Anolis sagrei: one gene and its partners. The protein of the gene in region 1 purifies or fractionates together with the protein of each later gene. This does not show direct contact. Links are inferred from orthologs where the notes say so. Each region holds a gene or a part of one and is shown in the gene's direction. Other genes may lie near its edges.

Region 1 (3,758 bases):
TAGATAGATGATAGATAGGGGGATTATTATCTACTATCTAAATGACAGATAATAGATAGATAGATAGATAGATAGATAGATAGAGGGATTATTTATTATCGAAATGACAGATAATAAATAGATAGATAGATAGATAGATAGATGGATTATTATCTACTATCTAAATGACAGATAATAGATAGATAGATAGATAGATAGATAGATAGAGGGATTATTACCTATTATGTAAATGAAATAACAGATATAGATAGATAGATAGATAGATAGATAGAGGGATTATCTATTATCGAAATGACAGATAATAAATAGATAGATAGACAGACAGATAGATAGTGGGAGTATTATCTATTATCTAAATGACATAATAGATAGATAGATAGATAGATAGATAGATAGATAGATAGAGGGACTATTATCTATTATCTAAATGACAGATAATAGATAGATAGATGTCCTGTTTCCTTCTTTCTTCCCTTTCTGTTCCTGAAGTCGCTTCCTTCCTTCCTTCCCCAATCCTCCTTCCTCCCTTCTTTCTTTCCTTTCTGTTCCTTCCTCCTTTCCCTTCCTTCCTTCCCCAATCCTTCTTCCTCCCTTCTTTCTTTCCTTTCTATTCCTTCCCTTCCTTCCATAATCCTGCTTCCTTTGTTCTTCCCTTTCTGTTCCTTCCTTCTTTCCTTTCCTTCCTTCCCTAATCCTCCTTCCTTTCCTGTCCTTTTCTTCCCTTCCTTCCATAATCCTGCTTCCTTCTTTCTTCCCTTTCTGTTCCTTGATCCTTTCCTTTCCTTCCTTCCCTAATACTCCTTCCTCCTTTCCTGTCCTTTTCTTCCCTTCCTTCCATAATCCCACTTCCTTCGTTCTTCCCTTTGTGTTCCTTCCTCCTTTCCCTTCCTTCCTTCCCCAATCCTCCTTCCTCCCTTTTTTCTTTCCTTTCTATTCCTTCCCTTCCTTCCATAATCCTGCTTCGTTCTTCCCTTTCTGTTCCTTCCTCCTTTCCCTTCCTCCCTTCTTTTTTTCCTTTCTATTCCTTCCTTCCATATTCCTCCTTCCTTTGTTCTTCCCTTTCTTTTCTGTCCTCCTTTCCCTTCCTTCCTTACCCAATCCTCCTTCCTTTTTTCTTTCTATTCCTTCACTTCCTTCCATATTTCTTCCTTCGTTCTTCCCTTTCTGTTCCTTCCTCCTTTCTCTTCTATCCTTCCTTCCCTAACCCTCTTTCCTTCCTTCCTTCTTCCTTTCCTTTCCATTCCTTTCTTCCCTTATCCTCCTTCCTCCCTTCCTCCTTCTCTTCCTTCCCTAATCCTTCCTTTCCCTTCCTTCCCTAATCCTTCCTCCTTTCCTTCCTTCTATCCTGTCCTTTCCTTCCTTCCCTTTCTGTTCCTTCCTCCTTTCCCTTCCTTCCTTAATCCTCCTTCCTCTCTTTCTTATTCCTTCCCTTCCCTAATCTTTCCTTCCTTCCCCAATCCTTCTTCCTCCCTTCTTTCTTTCCTTTCTGTTCCTTCCTCCTTTCCCTTCCTTCCTTCCTTCCCTAATCCTTCCTTCCTTTCCTATCCTCCTTTCCTTCTCCAATCCTCCTCCCTTCCTTCTCTTCCTTCCTCCTCGTCAGCGGCGCCGCTTCCCCGTCACAAGGCCGCATTCCTCCTCCTCCTCCTCCTCCTGCTCTGTCTCTCCGGGGGCGGCGCTCGTTGGCCAGCCGAGCGGGCGGAGGGCGTGGGGAGGCGAGCGCGGGGCTGACCAGGCCCAACAGGCCTGTTTCCTCACAGCCTCCCTCACAGCCTTCTCCCTCACCGCCCGCCATGCCGCTGCTCTTCCTGGAGCGCTTCCCGTGGCCCAGCCTGCGCAGCTACGCCGCCCTCAGCGCCTTGGCCCTCCTGGGCAGCGCCCTCAGCGCCTACCGAGCCCTCCAGGCTGGGGAGGCCGGGGCAGGCGGAGGGGAAGGCGGGCCCGAGGAGCAGGAAAGGCCGCGGCGCCAAGAGGCCTCCTCCGCAGAGACCCCGGGCCCCTCCGCCCTCGACGTCGCCGCGTTCCTCCTCTCCGACAGCCTCTGCGTCTGGGTAAGAAGGACCTCTCTCTCAGCATCCACATCCATCATAGGACCACCATTCAGTATTTGTCATAATAATAATAATAATAATAATACATCTCAATAATAATAATAATAATATTTAATAATAATAACAGCGAATAATAATACATTACAGTAATAACAATAACATTGAATCAAAACAATAACTTTCAGTAGTAATAAGAGATATTGTTATTATTGAATTTTATTAGTACTATAATAATATAATAATACATTTCAATAATAACAATAATAATACATCTCAATAATAATAATAATAACATTTAATAATACTAACAGCTAATAATAGTAATATATTTCAGTAATAATAATATTTAATAATAATAATACTCACAGCTAATAATAATAATATATTTCCAGAATAATAATAGTATATAATAATAGCTAATAATAATACATTTCAATAATAGTATATAATAATAGCTAATAATAATAATACATTTCAAGAATAATAATATTTAATAATAATAACAGCTAATAATAATACATTTCAGTAATAATAATAGTATATAATAATAGCTAATAATAATACATTTCAAGAATAATAATATTTAATAATAATACTAACAGCTAAAAATAATAATACATTTCAATAATAACAATAACATTGAACCAAAACAATAACTTTCAGAAGTAATAAGAGATATTGTTATTATTGAAATGTATTAGTACTATAATAATATAATAATACATTTCAATAATAACAATAACATTGAATCAAAACAATAACTTTCAGTAATGATAATAGATATTGTTATTATTGAAATGTATTAGTACTATAATAATATCTACTATTATTAATGAAAGTTTTTGCTATTACTGAATGTTATTGTTATTATTGAAATGTACTATAATAATAATATTTAATAATACTAACAGCTAATAATAATACCTTTAAATAATTACAATAAAATTGAGTAATAGCAAAAACTTTCATTAATAATAATAGATATTATTATTACAGTACGAATACATTTCAATAATAACAATAACATTGAATCAAAACAATAACTTTCAATAGTAATAATAGATATTGTTATTATTAAAATGTATTAGTACTATAATAATAATATTTAATAATACTAACAGCTAATAATAATACCTTTCAATAATAATAACATTCACTAATAGCAATAACTTTCATTAATAATAGTAGATATTATTATTATTATACGAATACATTTCAATAATAACAATAACATTGAATAATAACAATAACTTTCAGTAATAATAATAGACTTTAATACTAATAGTACAATTTAATATTTACAATATAATAATACATTTCAGTCATCATAATAATTGTTTATAATAATACATTTCAATAATAACAATGACATTGAATCAAAACAATAACTTTCAGTGGTAATAATAGATACTGTTATTATTGAAATGTATTAGTACTATAATAATAATATTTAATAATACTAACAGCTAATAATAATACCTTTCAATAATAACAATAACATTCAGTAATAGCAATAACTTTCATTAATAATAATAGATATTATTATTATAGTACGAATACATTTCAATAATAACAATAACATTGAACCAAAACAATAACTTTCAGTAGTAATAAGAGATATTGTATTGTCGAAGGCTTTCATGGCTGGAATCACTAGGTTCTTGTGGGTTTTTTCGGGCTATAGAGCCATGTTCTAGAGGCATTTCTAGA
Region 2 (3,758 bases), on another chromosome or scaffold:
TTATTATATAGTTTAATTATAATTATGTGATACTATATAGTATCATTCTATGTTTATCATTATAATATAGTATAATGATGATTATATTATCTTATATTAATATTATATATTTTATTACTTTTATCTTTATTGTATAGTTTAATTATTACTATATGATTATTATTATTATTATTATTATTATATTTTATTAAATATTTATATTTATAGCTATATCTATAAATCTTTGTGTTTCCTGCAGCCTCCTTCGAAAAGGCTTCTAGCAGCATAATCACGTGATTCCTGGAGAAGACCAATCCCCAGAGGCCTTTCCGGCAGGTACGGACTCCAACTCCCGAAAGACTTTGCCATTGGCCGCGAGGGAAGAGGCTTCTGGGAGTTGGAGTCCGGATGCGCCCTCGTGCCTGCGAGTAGGCCGCTTTTGAAGCCTGCGGGCTTTCCTTGTCGCCTTACCGGCCGAGGCTTCCAAGCCTCCGCGGGGAGGGTCCCAGGCGGCTTCACGGACACGCTGCAAGACCTCTGCTTCGTCTTCGTCGCTGCTGCTGCTGGCAATATTGAGACCATTCTTCCCAATCGCCGCCATTAGGAGAAAGCCAGGCGAAGTACGCATGCGCCGATAAGTTTGCCTTCCAGAGCAGTAAGCGCATGCGCGGGGATGGGAAAGCGAGGCAACCCTTTCCAGACCGAGGCAGAAAAACGGAGTGCGCATGCGTCGGCGCAAAAAAAAAAAAAACCAGCGTGCGCATGCGTAGAGACAACAAAACAAAGGCAACGGAGGGAGATAAGTACGCATGCGTCGAAACGACCAGCCAAAGTCAACGGCCGGAGACGAATGCGCATCCGTCCGCGCGAAAACAGGCATTCGGTCGGCTTCCTCTCAAGCGAGTGCGCCTGCGCGGAAGTGGCGGAACCATTTTCAGGGCGCGCACGGGTGCCGTAGCTTAAAGTGTCCCTGGTAACTTCCGGTTCCGGGAAAACCCTCTTAATCGAATCAGCTGACGGCGGAGGGAGAACGGGAGGCGTCGCTGGCGGGGAGGCTTGCCGGCGTGAGGGGAAGTAGGCAGGGGGCTACTTTCGGTGAGTAGGCTTGAGAGGCATGCCTCACGCCCAGGCAGGCTTTGCGGCCTAGCCTCCTCCTCCTTATATATATTTATTAGAGGGGTTTCCAATGGTATTTCCTTCTATTATTACCACAGGGCATTCTTCTATTATTATAGTAATATTATTATTATTCTACTATTATATTATTCATATATTCCATCATTATTGCTATAGTCTATTCTATTATTTATATATTCCACTATTCTCATATTATTATTATTCTACTATTATATGTTATTAATAATATATTCTTATATTAATCTAATTATTAGTAGTATTATTCTACTATTATATTATTACTATACTAGCCGTCCCCTGCCACGCGTCGCTGTGGCCCAGTCTGGTGATCTGGAAAATAATTAGAAAGTATTCGTTTCTAACATATGTCATGTCATTCTGCTTGTGGGTAAACTGTATTTCTTGCTGATTCTTTGTCAGTGTTGATGTGGAGATTGTCTGGTTTGCCTACTCTGGAACATATGAAATATATCATTGTCCATCTATAGGGGTTCCTTTCTATCTATGATACTGTATCTGTGTGTGTGTCAATCATATATATCTCTATCTATGGCTGGATGGCTCTTTGTCAGGAGGGCTTTGGTTACGTTTTCTTGTCCTGGTGAAGGGAATTGGACTGGATGGCCATAAGTATGGGGATTCTGTGTGGGAAGTTTGCCCCAATTCTGTCGTTGGTGGGGTTCAGCATGCTCTTTGGTTGTAGGTGAACTATAAATCCCAGTAACTACAACTCCCAAATGTCAAGGTCTATTTCCCCCAAACTCCATCTGTTTCCATATTTGGGCAATATGGAAGATTCGTGCTAAGTTTGGTGCAGATCCATCATTGTTTGAGTCCACAGTGCTCTCTGGATGTAGGTGAAGTACAACTCCCAAACTCAAGGTCAGTGCCCACCAAACCTTTCTAGTGTTTTCTGTTGGTCATGGGAGTCCTGTGTGCCATATTTGGGTTTGAATTCCATCATTGGTGGAGTTCGGAATGCTCTTTGATTGTAAGTAAACTATAAGTCCCAGAAACTACAACTCCCAAATGACAACCTCAGCAGCAAAGTCTATTGACCGCATCAACATCAAAAACAGACAACAATCACCATCCCAAGACCCCCACAACAGCGAACCAACACACATTCAAACCTGATTAGGTTAAAAGATAACTAAAAATATCATCATTAAAATGTCAAGATAAAATTTCATACCTAAATGACAACCTCATTTTTTTTGAGTGATGGTCACTCCTTGGGTTAGTAGGTGTCTTGTGGCCAAATTTGGTGGCAAGTCGTCCAGTGGTGTTTGAGTTATGTTAATCCCACAAACGAACATTACATTTTTATTTATATAGATATATATATTACAGTATGGTATTTATTAATATCACATTATTATATTATAGTTTTATTCTATTAATATATGCTTCTATAATTTTTTTAAGATTCATTTTTATTAGTGAATAGCATGGGCATAACACATATCAACATTAAGTTAAAAATAAAGAGAGAAAAAGAAAAAACAACATACTAGTCAAGTATAAAAAGTCATTGGCATGACTAGATAATTGGGTTCCAGTACAGTGAAAGTGGGTGAACATGGTTTTAAAGCAGTGGTTCTCAACCTGGGGTCCCCAGATGTTTTTGGCCTTCAACTCCCAGAAATCCTAACAGCTGGTAATATAGTAGAGTCTCACTTATCCAACATAAATGGGCCGGCAGAATGTTGTATCAATGAAATGTTGGATAATAAGGAGGAATGAATGTAAAATTATATTATGATTGTACAAATTAAGCACCAGACATCATGTTTTACAACAAATTCACAGAAAAAGTAACTCAGTACACAATAACGTTCTTTAGTAATTACTGTATTTACAAATTTAGCACCAAAACATCGCAATTTATTGAAACAGTTGTGTCTCCGGGCAGGAGGCAGACTGCATTGGATAATTCAGAATGTTTGTTGAGCAAAGGTTGGATAAGCGAGACTCTACTGTATTATATATTCCATTATTGTATTATTATATTATTATATTCTACTAATATTCGATTCTATTATTAATATATTCTAGGTGTTAGGTAATATCATTTAGTTAACTAGTAACAGTATTTATTAGAGGGGTAGAAGCCAAATTTGGTATGTTGACCATCAAGATTCTGTGTGCCATGTGTGTTCTGTTGCGGTTTATTAGTCTATACGGAAGCTACTCAGCAGTCTTCCCAGCTCCAGCCCTTAAGTTGAATCACACAGAGTAGAAGGAAAAAATAACTTTTACTCTTGAGTAGTCAAATATGCAGCTTTACAAAGAAAGCACACCAGCCTTGGAAATATACATTGTCCATTGCAGAAAAAATAACTTACAAAATCCATGCATTAAATACATGCATTAGCTGCTTCTTTCTTGGTAAATAGTCAGCAATTCTTGTAGTGTAATCCCATCTGGTCTCTGATTATCTGATCAGACCTCCTCTCTCTCACACACCATCTCACTCACTGAATACATCAAGAAAGACTTCACCTGATATACACTAATCAGGGAGTGGCTCACATTTAATTGCTTCAGTGTCCTGGTGTTCTTCCTCAACACACACCCACATAGGAGATGATCCTTGTCAAAACTTACTATACAAATCCATATCCTGTAACATGTTCCTC
Region 3 (3,758 bases), on another chromosome or scaffold:
TCAGCGTTCGGAGTTCCGTAAATCAATTAAATTATACCATTATATATATTATGAATATATACAACATAATATAATATAATTGTATATATATATGTGTGTGTTTGTGAGTATATATATATATATACACACACATATGTATTTATGGGTGTATATGTACAATGAAATTATACCATTATAAATATTATGAATATATATAACATAATATAATATAATTGTATATATATATGTATGTGTGTGTGTGTATATGTACAATGAAATTATACCATTATATATATTATGAATATATATAACATAATATAATTGTGTGTGTGTATATATATATATGTAAAGGTAAAGGTAGTTTCCTGACATTAAGTCCAGTCATGTCTGACTCTGGGGTGTGGTGCTCATCTCCATTTCTAAGCCGAAGAGCCGGTGTTGTCCGTAGACACCTCCAAGGTCATGTGGCCGGCATGACTGCATGGAGCGCCCTTACCTTCCCGCCGGAGCGGTACCTATTGATCTACTCACATTTGCATGTTTTCGAACTGCTAGGTTGGCAGAAGCTAGGGCTGACAGCGGAAGCTCACACCGCTCCCCGGAATCGAGCCTGCGACCTTTCGATCAACAAGCTCAGCAGCTCAGTGCTTTAACCCACTGCGCCACTTGGGGCTCTCATGAATATATATAACATAATATAATATAATATAATTTTGTGTGTGTGTGTATATTTATACACACACACACACACACATATATATATATGTATTTGGGCATATATGTGTGTATATGTACAATGAAATTACACATTTCATTGTACCATTACACATATTATATATATTGTGTATATATATAATATAATTGTATACATATATATGTATGTATTTATGGGTATATATCTATGTGTGCATATGTACAATGAAATTATACCCTTTATTATTATTGTCTCATATCCTCTACACATGCAGAATCAAGTACAGACTTACCCCAAAGGAGGCAAACCTTCAATCCCTGCGTCTGCTATACATATAAACAGGACTGACTTCCCACCAGGCCTGACCGGAATGGAAAGCAACGGCGTTCCCGCCCATTCTTGAAAACCTCGCCTGGCCACGCCTCCTCCTCTTTTTCCTGCCCATCCCGCGCTCCCATTGGTCCAGACCCAAAGCTATCCGGAGGTGGAGGCCTCCCATTGGCGGAGAGAGGGAACCAATGGGCGGCGGCGCGAGGCGAGGGGGCGGGGAAGGGCTGCGATTGGCGGCGCCGGCGAGCAAAAGGCGATTCTGATTGGCCGGGCGAGAGAAGCGGAGGGCTGGGATTGGCTAGACGGAGGGGAACACGCTTCGGGCTCCGATTGGCCGGGCGGAGGAGGGTGGGGCCACGCCAGGCAAGATGGCGTACCAGACTTTCCGCCAGGAGTACCTTCAGGTTCCGCCGGTCACCCGGGCCTACGCCACCGCCTGCGTCCTCACCACCGCCGCCGTGGTCCGTGAGTCGCGCCCGGAAAGGGATTGGGGGCGGAGGGAAGCGCGGAGGCAGGCCTGAGGGGGGAGGGAGGCCTGAGGGGAAGCTAGGCCGCAATCGGTTGGGGTCTTCGAAGAGAAATCGAGGGGGGATTGTACACTCAGGCCTCACAGAGAGGATTCCAAACGCCTCCTCTCAGCTTTCTCTTCTTCAGGCTAAACATGCCCAGCTCTTTAAGCCGCTCCTCATAGGGCTTGTTCTCCAGACCCTTGATCATTTAACAGCCCAAAGTCTATTAACAACACATTAATAATGATTATTATGATACAATAATAATAATAATAATAATAATATAATGATAATGATAGACCACACCTGGAATACAATTCTGGGCACCACAATTGAAGGGAGATGTTGACAAGCTGGAATGTGTCCAGAGGAGGGCGACTCAAATGATGAAGGGTCTGGAGAACAAGCCCTATGAGGAGCGGCTTAAAGAGCTGGGCATGTTTAGCCTGAAGAAGAGAAGGCTGAGAAGAGACATGATGAGGGCCATGTGTAAATATGTGAGGGGAAGTCCTAGGGAGGAGGGAGCAAGCTTGTTTTCTGCTGCCTTGGAGACTAGGACGGAATGGAGCAATGGCTTCAAACTACAAGAAAGGAGATTCCATCTGAACATGAGGAAGAACTTCCTGGCTGTGAGAGCTGTTCAGCAGTGGAACTCCCTGCCCTGGAATCTAAATACGTTAGAGGAAGTCATAGGGAGGAGGGAGCGAATTTGTTCTCTGCTTCCCTGGAGACTAGGACGCAATGGAACAATGGCTTCGAACTACAAGTAAGGAGACTCCATCTGAACATTAGGAAGAACTTCCTGACCGTGAGAGCTGTTCAGCAGTGGAACTCTCTGCCCTGGAATGTGGTGGGGGCTCCTTCTTTGGAGGTTTTTAAACAGAGGCTGGATGGCCATCTGTCAGGGTTGCTTTGAATGCAATTTTCCTGCTTCTTGGCAGAATGGGGTTGCACTGGATGGCCCACCAGAGCAGTACCTATTGATCTACTTACATAGTAGGCCCCGCGGGATGAGAGTGGGAGTAGGAGCAGGGGGACCCATTCCTTCCCAGCCCAGAGTGCATGTGCACCAGAATCAAGGCTTCCCTCCCTCTCCCTAAGCCATTCCCCTCCTTACAAAGCTTATCTGCATATTGGGGGTGATGGGAGTTGTAGTAGGAGGCTGAGAGGAGACATGATGAGGGCCATGTATAAATATGTGAGGGGAATATGTTATAGGGAGGAGGAGCAAGCAAGCTTGTTTTCTGCTGCCCTGGAGACTAGGACTCTTACTGGAGTATACGTCCCCGTCCCCCCCTCGTGGGAAAATTTGATTCCACATCTCCCACTATAATGAGCCCTCCTCCACAAATAATTTGTTTCTCTTTTATCTCACTCGAGTTTTTAACCAGTTTTAATTAGTTCTTTTAACCATTACATGTAGCCCACCCATTGTCACTGTGTTTATTGTAATTTTATATTGCTGTATATTCATATGTTTTATGTAATTATGATGTTGTTTATTGTTTGCGTTTTCGGTTTGCATTCGGTTGTTCTTTATTGTAATTGTTGTTTGGGCTTGGTCCCATGTAAGCCGCTCCAAATCCCCATTGGGAAGATGGTGGCGGGGTACAAATAAAGATTATTATTATTATTATTATTATTATTAGGACCCCATGGAGCCATGGCTGCAAACTACAAGAAAGGAGATTCCATCTGAACATCAGGAAGAACTTCCTGACTGTGAGAGCCGTTCAGCAGTGGAACTCTCTGCCCCGGAGTGTGGTGGAGGCTCCTTCTTTGGAGGTTTTTAAACAGAGGCTGGATGGCCATCTGTCGGGGGTGCTTTGAATGTTATTTTCCTGCTTCTTGGCAGAATGGGGTTGGACTGGATGGCCCATGAGGTCTCTTCCAACTCTAGGATTCAATGATTAACAGCCCAAAGTCTAAAGTTTCAGAGTCTAATGGAGCCTCTGTCTTCTTCCTAAAGCATTCTGTTTCTACTGACATCTAAAAGCATACTCCTTCTAAAATGGAGTCTGAGTCCTGAATAGTCCCAGGTCTGATCACATCGTCAGCAGCCCCTCCCACAACACAGAGTTAAGGAAAACTGCATACCAACACACACATATACAATATTGTAAGCAATAACAAACAACTAGTGGAGGCTTGAAGAAGGTTGCTATTTCAAACAATTTTCGTTCGCAAAGGCGCCAAAATGTGGAACTCCAAGCTTTTGTCAGAGATCATTCACATGGGTTACAAGA

The links.
Region 2: the proteins of AMFR (region 1) and RNF185 purify together in Homo sapiens (affinity purification with mass spectrometry; 3 studies listed by BioGRID and IntAct, with this or other methods). This does not show direct contact. The link is inferred for Anolis sagrei from reciprocal best matches to the Homo sapiens genes AMFR and RNF185.
Region 3: the proteins of AMFR (region 1) and DERL2 purify together in Homo sapiens (affinity purification with western blotting; 4 studies listed by BioGRID and IntAct, with this or other methods). This does not show direct contact. The link is inferred for Anolis sagrei from reciprocal best matches to the Homo sapiens genes AMFR and DERL2.

The regions. Positions count from the first base shown.
Region 1 is NC_090028.1:6,655,715-6,659,472, forward strand, and holds the start of AMFR (E3 ubiquitin-protein ligase AMFR), read left to right. Parts: upstream 1-1,558; 5' UTR 1,559-1,790; coding exon 1,791-2,048; intron 2,049-3,758. UniProt on the Homo sapiens protein: E3 ubiquitin-protein ligase that mediates the polyubiquitination of lysine and cysteine residues on target proteins, such as CD3D, CYP3A4, CFTR, INSIG1, SOAT2/ACAT2 and APOB for proteasomal degradation.
Region 2 is NC_090034.1:49,579,821-49,583,578, reverse strand, and holds the start of RNF185 (E3 ubiquitin-protein ligase RNF185), read left to right. Parts: upstream 1-938; 5' UTR 939-1,074; intron 1,075-3,758. Other genes in the region: CXH12orf43 (protein CUSTOS), read right to left, coding at 451-859. UniProt on the Homo sapiens protein: E3 ubiquitin-protein ligase that regulates selective mitochondrial autophagy by mediating 'Lys-63'-linked polyubiquitination of BNIP1.
Region 3 is NC_090031.1:30,189,192-30,192,949, reverse strand, and holds the start of DERL2 (derlin-2), read left to right. Parts: upstream 1-1,346; 5' UTR 1,347-1,371; coding exon 1,372-1,464; intron 1,465-3,758.